Linked DNA regions of Styela clava. The protein of the gene in region 1 purifies or fractionates together with the protein of each later gene. This does not show direct contact. Links are inferred from orthologs where the notes say so. Each region holds a gene or a part of one and is shown on either strand. Other genes may lie near its edges.

The links. Proteins that work in one complex are often made in the same cells at the same time.
Region 2: the proteins of peptidyl-prolyl cis-trans isomerase NIMA-interacting 1-like (region 1) and DNA-directed RNA polymerase II subunit RPB4-like purify together in Homo sapiens (co-immunoprecipitation; 3 studies listed by BioGRID and IntAct, with this or other methods). This does not show direct contact. The link is inferred for Styela clava from reciprocal best matches to the Homo sapiens genes PIN1 and POLR2D.

The regions. Positions count from the first base shown.
Region 1 is NC_135254.1:5,014,282-5,023,003, reverse strand, and holds the start of peptidyl-prolyl cis-trans isomerase NIMA-interacting 1-like, read right to left. Parts: upstream 3,337-8,722; 5' UTR 3,153-3,336; coding exon 3,086-3,152; intron 2,305-3,085; coding exon 2,219-2,304; intron 1-2,218. UniProt on the Homo sapiens protein: Peptidyl-prolyl cis/trans isomerase (PPIase) that binds to and isomerizes specific phosphorylated Ser/Thr-Pro (pSer/Thr-Pro) motifs.
Region 2 is NC_135263.1:10,962,679-10,969,656, forward strand, and holds DNA-directed RNA polymerase II subunit RPB4-like, read right to left. Parts: upstream 1,779-6,978; 5' UTR 1,770-1,778; coding exon 1,584-1,769; intron 1,360-1,583; coding exon 1,108-1,359; 3' UTR 759-1,107; downstream 1-758. Other genes in the region: dehydrogenase/reductase SDR family member 13-like, read right to left, coding at 2,152-3,168; uncharacterized protein LOC120329965, read right to left, coding at 6,863-6,978. UniProt on the Homo sapiens protein: Core component of RNA polymerase II (Pol II), a DNA-dependent RNA polymerase which synthesizes mRNA precursors and many functional non-coding RNAs using the four ribonucleoside triphosphates as substrates.

The DNA of each region.
Region 1 (8,722 bases):
TTTAACCATATGGTCTCATGAAATTTGAGTAACGTTGAATTTGCATAACAAATTTCTATTTTTTTTAATTACTTCCTGAAGATAAAACATACCATTCAACCCTTGGGGCTTTGCGTACCCTAATATTCCTTGCGCACCCTCTATGGGGTCACTACACCCAACTTGGCAAGCCCCCATCTAAATGAAATAACTCAGGACAGTTTTGGGTGATGAACCAAAGGTTGAGAAATACGGCACTGTACATTCACTTTCACTGTGCACAAAGATTTGTACATTTGTAGCAGTCAACTTGCTCAATGAACAACATATTCAAATCACAACAGAAAATTCAGAATGTTCAAACTAAAAGGGAAATGGTTTTTTGAATTAAATTTACATCAAATTGCATATTATTTTCCACAGTATCTGAAATTAGTCAAATTAGGTCATTTCAAATTTCACTGCCTGATGTTACAAATTACAAAACAAAAATATACTAACTTATATATATCAAAAGGAATAAAATATTCCTTCTGAGTTTCATGTCATAAACAGAGGACTATTCTTTGTGATTAAGGGGGCTTGCTGCCACTACAGGGGTTTTTGAGGGTCTGACCCCCAAATGAAATATAAAAAAGCAATTTTATGTATCATAAAAATAACATAATCTCTTTCCATGAAATATCAAGTATATTTGTGATATCAAGTATATTTTATATTTGTCGTTAGATCAGTGGTCGGCAACCACCGGGCCGCGGCTGATCCGTGGAAAGGTCACTACCGGTCCGCAGAATGGTGACATGAAAACGTACAATGCCATTGTTATCTTCATGTGAGGTTGGGTTTTTAAAATGGCAATTACAAAAACGAAAGATCGAAGTGGGTTTAACGTGAGTGAGAAATACGTTACATGAATAGTATCACCTTTGTTTTTGAATGTATTGTCAACATACATTTTCTAACGCATATTATTTATTACAAAATTTTGGTCAGGCTTTACCGGTCTGTTACTGGAAAAAGGTTGCCGACCACTGCGTTAGATCATAGTCCAACTTCTCCAGATAAAACAAGATATGGCCTAATCAAATAGCTATATACTATATAATATACTTAATATTTCGTGGAAAGAGATTATGTTATTTTTATTTATCTTCATAATACTATCTCAGTCACACATCCTTGTGGCAACAGCCACATACGGATCCGGAATATAAAGTAAACAAGGAGAAAGGACCTGCAGTTCAATACACAATACCCTAGTACAGGGGTGTGCAACCTTTATTACAGGAAGGCCAGATTCAAGTGATTGAGTGAAGTCACAGGCTGTACTTTTATTTAAGATATAGTTTATAGTAGTTTCACACACAAAAACTGTTTTTGCTAGCTAGTTTTGCTAATATGACAGTGGCACTCGGGTACTGGCTTTGCGACGTAAAGTGATTAAAATTTCTCGCACGTGTCACAATAACTAAACTAAAAATTCTTTTTGCGGGCACACTATTCAAAATTGGCACTTCTCAGCGGGCCGCACAATATTTCCTTGGGGGCCGCATTTGGCCCGCGGGCCACAGTTTGCACACCCCTGCCCTAGTACACCCCATTATGTATCATACATAGCAATTTTGTGAAGATGGCTCTGGGCAAGCATCCACCTAAACATATGCAGACTTTACAGAGTTTGGGGAATATTTCTCCAGATTACTTAGGTGAGACGTTCGATTTACTAGGACTAATATTTCTCTCACTTTACCCATTTTTCCCAATTTGGTCTCAATCTCATTAAACAGCAATCACACTGTTAATAGAAAGACTCCCTTCACTAGTCTAGTTCATGCATCCGCCCAGCTATTCTCACACTGGGACAAAGTCAGGGTCGTCCAGTCGGACTCGCTGGCTGCTATGGTCCAACTCGACAATTAATAAAAATTCCAGATCTCCCTCCTTCAATTATTCCTGGCTATTCACCTGGTCCACTGACACAATTGATTAATAATTTGTCCTCGCTAGACAAGCATGTCAACAAAGACAAGAAAAGCGATTCCATAGTCTTACATAACTCCGATTGATAGCTATATTTACAACAGCAAATTTCAATTCCTTTGTTGGAAACTCTTGCAACTTATGATTATATTTTATTATATTCATCTTAGATAACTGTTGACTTGTGATCGCTCGAGCTTCCAAACACGGTTCATCAGCTTTCCTTTCACTCAAGAAAAAAAAAAAAATCATCTCCTACCTCTGGTCTTGCTGGTTTCACTGCTTCTGAGGTTGGTCTGTCCCATTGACTCGCATTCGTGTATTTGTTCACATAGTAATGTCTCCCTGAGAAGCACAAAAAGAAAGTTGACAAAAATGACAAAAAATTGGAATTCAAGATACTTGCACAATCACAGATTCTCTGTATATATATATATATATATGTTGCATGTCTGCACGTTGCACACACAGCAGTGTGGCGCAGCGTGGTAAACGTTAGGTATAGGATTCGCATACTGGATAACTAATTCTATACCCGACATAGTATGGAAACAGACAAGAGGCCGTGGTTCGCCATGTAATCAAGCCACTTTATAGGCTTTCCTCTCCTCCCGGGATGAATATGTAAATCCTATATAATGCATTTTCTGTACTATTTACTTCCCCTTATTTATTATTAATTATTGTTTTTTGTTTGTCATTTTATATGGACGTTTCAAATGTCTTGAATAAATAAATAAAATGTACTAGGACGGTGGTTCTCAAACTTTTTGAGCCACGCCCCCTTTTTAGAATTTGTCAAATTTCATGTCCCACCTCTAAAATAACTAGCTAACAATAAGCTACAAATAACAGATAGTAAGGCAAAAGTATGATTTATTTGAAAAGCACGTTGAAAATATGTGGATGGAACGTACATATTGATACGAATAAAAAGTTTCGAAATGTAAAATATCCAAAATAAGGCAGGCAAGATCAAATCTAACATTTTTTTACCATTTTCAATTAGCTTCGAGCCCCCTCGAAAAATTGCCCATACCCCCATTCGGGGGGGGCGCCACCGTTTGAGAACCACTGGACTAAAATAATGCTTGGTTAAAATCCTTCAATTGTGAGTCATAACTACCTGATGATCTGCTTTCCTTCTTTATCCAACCATCTGGAAGTGGACTAACCGGTTCTGACTCGCTCATACTGGATTAGACTGGTTTCGTCTGCTCCAATTTGCACGGGATGATAAACAAGACAAACTGTTGTCAGATAGCTTGAGATATAATCAGACAATTCACAGCTGGATTATCTCGGTTTTAACTGGTTCAAACCAGTATAAACTAGTTTTATCTACAATATTCCTTAAAACAAAGCAAGAAACAAATAAATTTTTTTACAACAATATTATTTCAAATCCTGATAAGAAAGTTCAACAACATTATTAAGATAAAATATTAATTATTCTGATTTATACAAGGCAATATAAACAATAAAATATACAGAAAATAAAAATCCAAGAAAAGATTCAAGACATGCTCATATACAAGGTGGTCGCTGGAATACAGAAAATTTGAATATCAGATGAGGCAGGGAAATATTGTTCCAAATCAAAATAACATCATAAATACCACTGAAGTGATAAACAGGAGGGCCATGAGTGCTAAAAGTCTCCGAATGGGGGCCACAGGATATAAAAAGCTGGAAACCAATGCTATAGTGCAATAAATACTTTTATATTCGTTGCTCCCCGATGAAGGTCCACCTCACAGACACTGGAAGCAAGGATCGTTTTACTATAATTTTTTCACTTCCATTGGTTTCGTAACAATTACGATTTGCGATCGCCTGAACTTACGACATTATCTTGTTTACGAATCGCTACGTGACAATGGATATATAGCCTACATGATATTAAATGGGGGCTCCCAAAGTATGCGAACCAAGATGACGAACATCGGAATGTAATATGTGTACTAGGTTAGGGTTAGGCCATAATTTTAGGTATAAATACTACGGGAGGCTCTTGGCTAGTCTTCGAACTGATAATAGGACTAAAATAAGGAAAATTGGAAAGAAATTATCGCCTAACCCTAACCTGTTACCCATGTTACGTTCCGATGTCCGCCATCTTGGTTCGCATACTTCGGGAGCACCATTAAATGTATATTTCGTAATCTTTTCATTTCGTTGCGGACCCTCGTGGAGCCATCACGAACCCCAGTTCAAGAAACCCAGATGTAGACCACTGTCTACTTGTGTCAACCACTGATATCTCTATCGGGCAAACTGAATTTAGCAAATGAATGGCACTTGCAATTTGTCAGTACTCTTTCCATATTTAGTTGAGCCTTGTGCTGTTTAAATCATTCAGCGGTTACGTGATATGGCCTACGGCGGCGGGAAGGCCAGCAATCCTCTCAGGACATTTTTTCCCCCACAGCATTCGACCTGCGAACCCATGCAGGGTAGTCAGAGGTGCAATGACAGAGCGTATTTCTAGCATCTGATACCGAGCAAACATATGATTACTCAATCAAAACGTGACTAAATTTTCATATCTATCCTAACTTGGGTTTAACGTAGTATAGTACAACAAGCCTAGTGGGCTGGACAAAATTATTTTTGCATATGTTATTACAGTATTATTAACCCCACTTGACTATGTCATCCAAAATTTACATAACTACGACGTCACAATCACGTCATATAGCTTTTCAAATTAGAAGTATATGTCTGTATGTGGTACCGTACTAAACTACACCTGAACCCCTAGTTTTGCCTAACCCAAAAAATACCATGTCATACCTAGCCACTGGATGGGAGCTTTATAGCTATTCCTACCTATTCTAGAGTGGAAGTGGTGATTCCTCTACCAGTCTACGGCCCATCAAGTTGTGTAAATGGACTATTTACTTGGCTAACACAGTCAGTCACCACACTCATAATAGAACTATAATGTGAAAAATTTTGAACAAGATTTTGTCCTAACCCTAACCTGGTACACATACTACAGGAGTAGGCTATTCTTTTCTGTTGTTTGGTATTTTGCTTAATTTAAATATAGAGGCTTACCGTAAGAAAAAAATTTGCTGGCATCTCGCGATTTTTTTTCGGTTCGAATATTGACAATATTGTAAAAATTGAAAATTTTAGTAAGATAATTGAATTTTTCCCGATGGGGCCGCGGCCCATAGCTTGATGGGCCACGGCCCATGTGGCCAAATTAGATGGGCCGTGGCCCCTGCCTGAGTCACCACTCCTGTAGCTATTCTATTCCACCCTACAGCCCCAACCCATAGCTTACCATGAATCACACTTGTATAAGTTTATTTCGACTCCATAATTACACACTGACACATGTTTACTCTAACCATTTGCCAAAGTAATACATCTATCCTGACCCAAAACATATCAAGAATCTTATTTTAAATACTCTCCCCATTTCTCAATTTAAATTCCTATCCTAACCCAGAACATATCATGTCTATTAATATATTAAATTCAAATTACCTCTGAATACATGGGTTTCGACCATCAATCGTGCATGGAACAATATCTTCCCAACAAACCCACTTTTTCCACCAAAAAACGTTGCAAATACTATCAAAAACGTTGTAATTACTACCAAAAATTCCTACTTTGCCGGAACGTGCATTCACCGTTTCGCAGTCTGTCAATTGGATATATTTCCCAAGCTTGAATAATAGATAAACGATGCTCAACTTGTGATATTTTTCTATGTTGAGCACTTGATAGAATACAAACAAACATTTCTCCAATTCTGTCGACAGGATTTCCTGCCAGAATAATAACTCAAAAAACGCACTGTCAGCGGTGCGATATGCTTGCTAATATTCTGTAATATTGGAATATTTTATCGGGCACTATACTGTCATTGCCCAACGCTAAATTTTCTGTGTTGTTTATCTTATATGTTAGGTTATTCACCGACCTCCATCTGCTTATCTTACAAATTTCCTACCAAGATTAACAGAGAATGGTGGGGCATAACCCGACTTATCCATAACCAACATTGAGTAGGATTGAGTTCACACACTCATCTTCATGGAAAAGAAAGTCGATTTCTTGGAATGTAATGCATTTATTTTTTGTTACGTTTGTTGGCTTTTCTACAATTGAAATGGGTCATAAAATAACTGGTAAAAACGCTTCAAAACATGACTGGGTATTCTTATATACCGTATTTGCTCGTTTTGTAGCCCGGGCCCATATTTTTTTAACCAAACTCACTAACCGGGCCCTTATTCAAGCACAGGCGCTTGTTATTTTTAAAGTAAAAATTGCGACGCCCTATCAATATTGAAACGACGCACTTGGTAGTCGCAGACGCCCAGTTTGAGTAATCAAGGCTATCTGTTATGTAATTGGACGCATAAGGCGTGAGTGTTATCTACCAGCGCTTAAAATTCAACAGCGTTGTGACAAAAGCGCTTTTTATTTCCCATTGTTCTCTACCACTGAAAAATCAGCTTTTACATCAGGCGAGTATTCAAGCACCGGCCCTTACTTATTTTCATGTTCTGTTCACACGGGCGGCTATTCAAACGAGCCCTTAATCAGGATCGGACGGTAAAACGAGCATATACAGATAGCAGGAAGCCAGAAGTATTTGGAACCGAGCTAAGGTGCCAGGGAGAATCATGTCCGCAATTGAATAGATATACACCTCGAGAGCGCTGCCTATGAAAATAAGAGGACCCTACAGGCATCACATGGAAATACGACAAACAGACAGGCCAAGGCATATAGTAACCTTCTGTTCGAAATTCAAATCAAACTATCGACCGTCCCACCTTTATGTTAATTTTTTCTTCGGCCCTTATCGCTCCAAACATGGACATTTGAACCCACGACAATTGCACCCGCATACTACTGCACCTATGGAATACTAACCCTAACCTACGGGTTTCAGCACCTGCACATAGTTTGAACCCGCGGATATACACATGGGTTTAAATGTACAGTCACCACGAAAACTGCAATGCCAACGAAACTCAGTCGAATCGCGAACCGTTACGTCATCGCACCCAACTGACTTAATCCCAGCCTGCTTCCTAATACCTACCCAACGACTCAATCGAAAAAACACAGACTCAATTTTCATAATTAACATGTCTTCAATCGGAGATCTTTTCTGAATATGCAGTAAATGCAATATATAATACAGTAGTTACAGTGGGGACGGGGAGACCAAAAGGGGTGATGAAAGACACTAGCAGCCAGAATTAAAACACTTTCAATTGAAATTACAACTGGAAAATAATCACAATTTATACAAATTTATTTGTAGTAACTTAATATGGGAAATGCGTTGTTTGTGAGACCCTATCAATTGAGCAGTTTTATTTCGCAATAGATCTAAGAACAGATATTACGGTTCTACATTGCAGTAAATCCCGAAAATTATATTTAAACTGAAAATAGTTGAACAATTCAACAGAATTCCGTCTTGAGTATGAAAATTAACTGTGCACTGAATAATCTCTAACACCCCAACCCACGAAATAAATCGAGAAGTTATAGCATTACAAAATGGATGACCGAAGCCAACATTCGATAACATTTTAAAAATTATTCCAATAAGAGAATTGAGATATTTTTATGTGAAAACTCTCTGGTTAACAATGTTGTAAAAGCCAGCGATAAATATAGCTTTTTCAAGTTTTCATGGAGACGAATTGATTCCAAAAATTCCAATGTAAAGTGAATTCTATACTTTGAAATATAAGTTTTTTTAAATGTATTCGAATAGTGAATTCGGTCAGTCGATTAAAACTTAATTTTTCACATTTGGATGAAAAAAATATTGGTTGCCATGCAAGCAATTCAATATCACGATGAAATGTTCAGTAAAATGTTTTTCAGAAAGTCCAGCTGTGCAAAAGAAACTGTTTAAATTTCTCAATTTTTTTCCATGCACATTGTTATATTTTCAGATACTAATTTCGAAAATATTGTCAAATTTTGGCGACAAGTTTGCAAATGCTAAACCAGGTCAGATTTGTAGCCTATTTGAATGAAATAATTTACACTAAAATTGTTTTGAGAAAAACACAACCAACTGGTACCATTTGATACCAAATGGACACAGAACATAAAAATACTCTGATTAACAGTATTATGTCAAAGCAAGTTTCGATGAATGATTTCAGGAGCGTAGAGGAAAAAGGCCACAACGCACAAATAGAATTAAAATATCTTTCTAGATTATTGGTATGTCAAGATTCATACAATATAATATTAAATCATCAGACATTAAATTGAATTTTTTTTAGATTAGGATTAAATAAAAGGTAAATGGGTGGGTGGCCCATCAACAATAGATTTATTCCCTAAGCTGTTCTGCAATCATAGTGTGTTTATATTTTTTCCAAGATTTTTAGGTTTTCACTCATCGAGAAGAACGTTCAAGAAGAAGTTGATGACACTTTCAAGTACAGGTCCGGAATTTGGAAATATAATCAATTATTCGTTTTAAATGCTGCATGGACTTTAAAATAGACCAATCTGGCAAGAGCTATTAAAATCCGTTCTAAATATTGTTAACACTTTGAGATTATATTCAACATCCAGTCTTTCATGTGGCACGAGTTCTTCTATGTCCAGGAATCTACCGCCTTTGCAAGTGGGGGAAGCATTTCATCCGGCTTCTTAGTATCGCTGGTAACGAGAAAAGCACACTTATGTTTTGTGTCATGATATACTACTGCGCTTTTAGAACCTTTTTTAAATGGTTTACCATCTGTAGCGT
Region 2 (6,978 bases), on another chromosome or scaffold:
TACGATTATGCTTTACTTCTGGAACTCGTTCTTGGCACGTTTCAGGTTTATCGTTTTAACGTTTTGAACCACGTGTTTTGATTTGCTATTGACCTTTGTACGCACACAACTTTAATGCATTCACTCGTGCTGCTGAGAGGGCTGGTACGTTCGAATCTTGTGTAGGCGAGAGAATTGTGGGTACGCTCCTCGCGCAAGTGCTGGTCGGTTACGACCGCCACCCAAATAAAGCGACCAACCAACTTGCTTTTGCCAAGACTGATGTCGAGAACACGTGACTAGCCGAATGACAACATGTTCTTATAGGCTTTCTCTGCTGAAACGAGTGTGAAAAAATAACCAATCCTATTTTAAAAACGGATGAGGAAGTCGTTCTGCAAACACTAGTATTTGGAGACTACAACGAAAGACGGGTGTCCTAAATATCTGGTGTCTATATATGGACACACATTTTAGTGACATCCCCTAAAGACAACAACACATTGATTGTGCCTTTAGTTCCATTCCAATATATAAAATTCTGTGTCATTCCTGGCATAGGGATTTACATAACGTGGCACGTGACCTCAAGAGAATTTGTTTATGATAATCAAAGTACACCACAATCAGACCGCACTGTCCGCAGCTAATTGAATAATAGCATTGTTGCTTATATACTTTTTCTATGGCTGAACTATCAAATAATAGAGTCCAGGCAACCGGAACTGCTGGTTTCTATATCAACATTGGTGAAGCAATTATAAAATGGATGCAAAATCTCTGCTCCAAGATGCTCTTTAATATCAGAAGCACAGAGGAACTCCTCATATAAAAATAGAAAAACCCCTAGAATATCTCATTATTAAGTACAGTACATCCTCCCTAGAGTTTATGTTATGTGACCATTTTACCTGTATGAGAAAAATCTTCTCTTGTATACATCAGTACTTGGTTTCAAACTATTATTTTGTCTTTACCATCACTCATGCTGTTTTTCAATGATTGCAGTATTAAAATTCATGCAGCCTTCATATAATTTGGACCCCAGACATTTAGAACTGGAACTGAACAATCCAGCAAGGCTGCACTTTGCTCTTAATCGATGAAATTTGTTTCATTTATTCATCATCAAGCCTGGAAACTTCTTTTTAATTGAATATCATTGAGAACTTGTAGTAGTTCCTCATCTTCAAATCGGCCTTCTAGACTGGGGATAAGTGCTTTAGCTTCTTCGGCAGTTTCAGGACATAAGTTCGCGAGAGATGCAAGCTCGAATTTATGGAGTTTCTTTTGAAGTAACAGGCTGCGAACACTTGCTATTGTTTCACGATTTTTAAATCGACTGAAACGCTGTGTGTAGTTCAGTGTTTTCATAAATACCTAAATAAAACAAAAAATAAATGAATAATGGGAACACTAAAAATATGGAAAAAATGTATTTTGCAACAGGATGTTGCTATTTATATCTCAATAATAATAGCAAAGACAACTATCCATAAGTTTCGTTCATCTTGTATGCGCTTTTTATGTAGCTATGCTTCATAAAATATAGTTCAGCATTTTCATATTTATTCTTGTTTCCAATTGTTGGGCAAGATTTATACCTCTGATAATTCTTGTTCTTCTTCAACATTTTCATTTTGCTGTTTCCGATGTTCAAGTAACATATGAACTTCCGAGTTGAGCAAAGTTTCTGCATTCTCAAATTCAGGAGGAAATTGTAGCTGCGATGCATCTTCTTCTTTGTCTTCCAACACAGAACTAAGAGCTTTTGTGGAGGAGGACGTCATGACAGAAATTTACAAAGAAATTATAAAGTATATAAATATTTTATCTGGATAAATATAAGATATCATCTTCAATGCCATTTTGTGGCATAATTTAGGACTTAAATAACTTTATTTCTACAATGGGAAACAAGCATGGCAGAAAAAGGGTTCAATTGGACTAACTATAACACAATCAAGCATTTTTCACTGTTCGTCAAGTAAACAAAATTCAAAATAGAAAATCCAATAAAAAATTCTGCATGCAAAAAAATGAATGTAATGTAGTTCTAAACTGATACCATACATCTTTCACAAAATTGCTATATTTGTGAGGTAGTTTTCCACTGAGAAGACCTGTCCCACCAGTACTGTAATTTATGAAATATCCAACATGCAGAATACTTTAATCGCTTTTTGCAAAATAATCTTCTTCTTTAGTTAATCCAGTCATTTGTTCACATACTTTCCAAAGTTTCAGACCAGTTTCTGAATCTGTTGCAACTGCTTTTAATTGTCTCATCCTCATATTTGAGAAATACCCTCCACTTTTTTCCTTGAGTCCTTTTTGAAGGCAACAGTACAAAATGGTTTGGCAGCCATAAAAAAGTGGACGCATGAAGCAAGCTTTTAGTATCAAGTGGCCAACCTTCATCAAGGTATTATGGATTGCTCCTGTACCAAGTTCACTGGCAATCACACCAGGATGAAGAGCATAGGTTGATATAGAACTGTTTTCTGGATCCTCGGATCTCAGTCTTTTATTCAGTTCTGTTGTAAAATATACATTCATCAATTTTGTATTTGAATATTGTTGAATTATCTGCTGATAAGGGCTTTCCTTGGTAAGTCCTAAATTTATATTACCAAAGTCAATTTTTCCAATTGTATATAAATCAGCACTGACATTTACTATTCGAACATGTTGGGAATCTGATGAACTTTTCAAAAGTGGAATTAAAAGATTAGTTAAAAGAAAAGGTCCGAGTTGATTTGTTGCTAAAATAATATCATTCCCATCATTTGTCATTCCAGGAACAGCAACACCTGCATTGTTTATTAAAATGTCCAGCCTAGGTTCTGTATCAATGAAATTCCTCACAAATCTTCTTACATCCGCAAAATCTGATAAATCCAGCTTCATGTAGTGCACCATATCGTTTCCACTCTGGCTCTTGATATCAAAAATAGCTTCTGACGCACGCTGTTCATTTCTACTGGCGATAATTACCCGTGCCTTGCGTTTTGCAAGTTGTAGAGCTGTCTCTTTTCCTATTCCATAACTTCCACCGGTAATAAGGACAGTTTTTCCGTCAATTTCCAAATCATTCTTGAATACGGGTCCTGTTTTGACAAACTTCATCCACGCATAAGTTATGATAATGAGTAAACAACTCAGCGCTACCAATAGACCACCATCCATTGCATTCGGGAATCCATATAGGCCGCGAGCCGAGGCCATTTATCTTTCAGTTTCGTAGCGCACATCAGGTAACTACCTGAAAATGATTTTAAAATGTTCCTTAGAAATTTAGTAACAAATATTGCCTTGTTCCCACTTCCAAAAGTTGCACGTTTTACAGAAAAGACGCTTTTACTACAATAAATATGTGTTACCATCTGTCCTATTTTCTCTGCTTTTCCGGTATCATGGGCCAATGAACGCAGACTTCTGCACGACGTAACAGTCAAGTTAGTCAGCTGTAGGTGGATCCCCAGTGGTCGGATGAATATCAGATGTACTCAACTGCTCGCTTTTGCGTTGAGTAGCCTTTCCATAGTTTTTTTCAGTTACCGGTAATATTAGTCCAGTTATTCTAAGGAGGTGTTGAAAAGTATAGGTAAGATATTAAACACTTGTATATCCTTGCCATAAATAGCAATTTTAGTTGAGCACTAGCTCATAAGACGTTGTTAAATAGGTACCGTACGGTGCGGTAACTCCAAGGAAGGCTAGACCTAGAATAATATGTCACAAACAACGATATTTTCTGGCTTGCATGAAATGTTTATGATTAATTTAATGACTCTTCTTGACTATTCAGCAGACTTATACTACTATATAGGCCACAGCATATTTGGAAATAGAAATGAATGGCTGTTTCTGTAATGCACGGTTGTGTGAAAGAGAAGAAATTAATCAATTTTACTAATGTCGGTTGGTCTAAATCTAAATTCATAGAGTCGACAAGAACCTGGGAAGCAATGATAAGTTATGCCGGAGTGGAAAGAAAGGTAGCATTGGAAATGATTGAGAGGTGAGAAATGAAGTTGTAGACAAACAGTTGATGTTTCAAAATATAGTCTATAGTCCATACTCATACTGTCATAGGACATTTCAGACTGTGATATATCAAAATTTAGTGTAGATATAGTCTAGTAATGGTATGCAAACACTGCTGGACTGTAGAACATGCAATGAGCATATATACGCTCATTTAGTACATCAGATAAAATGCATTATGTATTCAAGGTATTAGTTAGTATTTAGGGGTATTTTTAAAATCATGCTGCTCCAAATATTATTTTCTTCCTTATTTTAGATACTGTACTACAAAAGAAAACGGCAATGTTCCACCAATCCGACCTAACGCAGGCTCTGATCCCTGCTGCTATCAGTGCTATAAAATGGATTAAACAAGAAGTCTTGAAGCTTAAAGGTATATGAGAATCATAATAGTTGCAAACAGCTTAGATGGGCTATTCATATTGAAATACTTTAGCACTTTTCTGCAATTGGAACTGCCCATCAAATTCATGTTGGAGACTTCATTGAGATTTTCAATTCATTTTTTTCCCTCGACTATGAAGATCTTTTGAGGTTAACGAGGTATTAATAAATAAAGCTGAGGAATTTGAAGAGGATATGAAGAATGTAAATGATACCAGGGCACGTCTATTTAACACTGTCAAACATAAGGATTATACTCTCCACCCAACAATGATTCACTGAAGAAGCATGTGGCCCTCAAATCAGTTCTTGAGTTGGCAAACTGCAAAGAAAAATAGTCAAAATAATTTATGAAAGTGTGGCAAAATCAACTTAAATTGCACAGATTTTTGTTTTTGTATTGACTGCAGAAATCACAGTACACCTATAGAGGAAAAGTCGAATTTTGAGATAGTGGATTTCGAAAACAATTCAGAAGAAAGTGAATTAGATATTACAGTTGATTTAATAAGTATCATACATTTGTTTTTTTTTTCGGACATTTGTTAGTGTCGTAGTCCTGTTTCTAGAAATATTATTGCCTTTGTTCAAATACATAACCACATAAACTAAAAAAAGATTAATTGTAAATTGTAATATTTCTGTTCACTATGTTATGTACATATTGTACATTCATTTAATTTTCTTGACTTTTGCGGTAAATTTCTAAGTGAGAAATAACTGATTTATTTGTGTTTTCGTGCTCACGATGTTAATTTGTGACTTCATTGCTTAAAAATAAATACGTTTGATACTTGATAGCTTCTATAAAATGGATGTAGCTTTTTATGCTGTTCTTGTTGTAAACTGCTTGTGGTTATTACATAAAATTTATTCTCAAATGTGAATCAGCGTTGTTGGTGTCGCTGCTTTCGAGGTCACTCCCGACTCCTGTCACACAATTAAAGTATTTTTTGTTGTTGGTTACATGTATGCCATATTTTTCGTAATCTACCTAATAAATTATGATTGACTGAGGAAGTCCGATTTTGGTCAGGCAAAACATTACAGGAATACATTTGTGTTAGTGTGCTGTAGGGCTCTCGAATTGTATAGTTCTTATGTATGCGTTGTAAACTTATGGTTATTGAATTTCCGGGAACCTCTTATATTCAATTTCGCACCAGGATTGTGGAACAAGCTGTAATGCGTTCATTATGTTCGTTTTCACACAAAACTGAAGAATTTATTTAGTTACCAGATGTGCGCTACGAAACTCATTTTCTGGGCGTTTTCATGGTTTCGTCTCACGGCCCATATCCGTGGTAAGGATCTACAAGTGTTTAATAATTTACTTATACATTTTTCAACAACGTCTTAGCATAACTTAACTAATAATAACTAAACAGGGCTATGGAAAGCCTGCCCAACTCAGCGCAAGGTCGAGCAGAAATAACTAATATTCATCCGCTCGCTAACAGCTGGTTTAATTCAATTGTTACGTCATGCAGAAGTTGTAGAGTTAAGAGGTTCTACAGGTCCTATTTCTGATTATTGGGCTGTCTTGTCAATCTACTTCCGTAGCTAACTCTCGACACAGTAGTAACGCACACATAAACACATCCAACTTGTATGAAAGAACTTGTAATGAAAGTATATTTACAGTATATACAAGTCACAGTCCAGTAAAATTCCACAATCAGGTTAAAAGTTCCACAGTAGATAGATAAATTTCCACAGCAAGTATAACGGCAGTGTAACACAGTGAATGTCAAAACTTGATGTCTGTATGTAAATGTATTGTATGTGTATTGTATGATGTGTTGTATGATGTGGTTACAATATATTTGTGTCTCCAGCCCAACAACAGTACTTAAATTTAGCTACAAGACACAAAAACAATAAAAGAGTATAATTAGCCTTCGACATACAACTCAATTAGAACCTATATTACTAAATAACCCTAAACATCCTAACAATCCTAAATTAGCATAATCAAAACCCTACAATTTGCAACTCAATGCCGCAAAGTAATCGCAGCTACTAACAAAGAAATTCATGTGACCAGGCCTCATTGCACTGTCTCCCACACTAATAAATAGGACATTTAGTATAATACAATAAGAAAAACAAGGGCATGAATACAAATCAGCTGATATAAGAGAGTATTGCACCATCATTGCCAAGACTTCAAACTTTCTCTCGGTCAGTGACGCTTAATATAAATAAACAAATAAATAAACGAGAGCAAGTCTGAACATGTTTATCGGGACCAGAATAACTAAAACTAATAGGTTAGTTCACGAAAGTTAAATTTCTGCCTGTAACATTCCGGCCTCTAAGTAACTCTGGGAAAACAGAGTTAATTATAAATAATTCAAATTACAGGCAACAGGAAATTTCAACTTCAATATTAAACATAATAAAACATGAAATGTTCACTAGTAATTAAAATTATTAAACAGCTTCAAGATGACACTGTAAATAGGTAACTGCATTGTACAATCACCATATTTGGAGCCCTTGAACCATCTTGGCATAGAAACTCTTTTTCAGGAAGTTGAACCATCCACTTTTTCCATA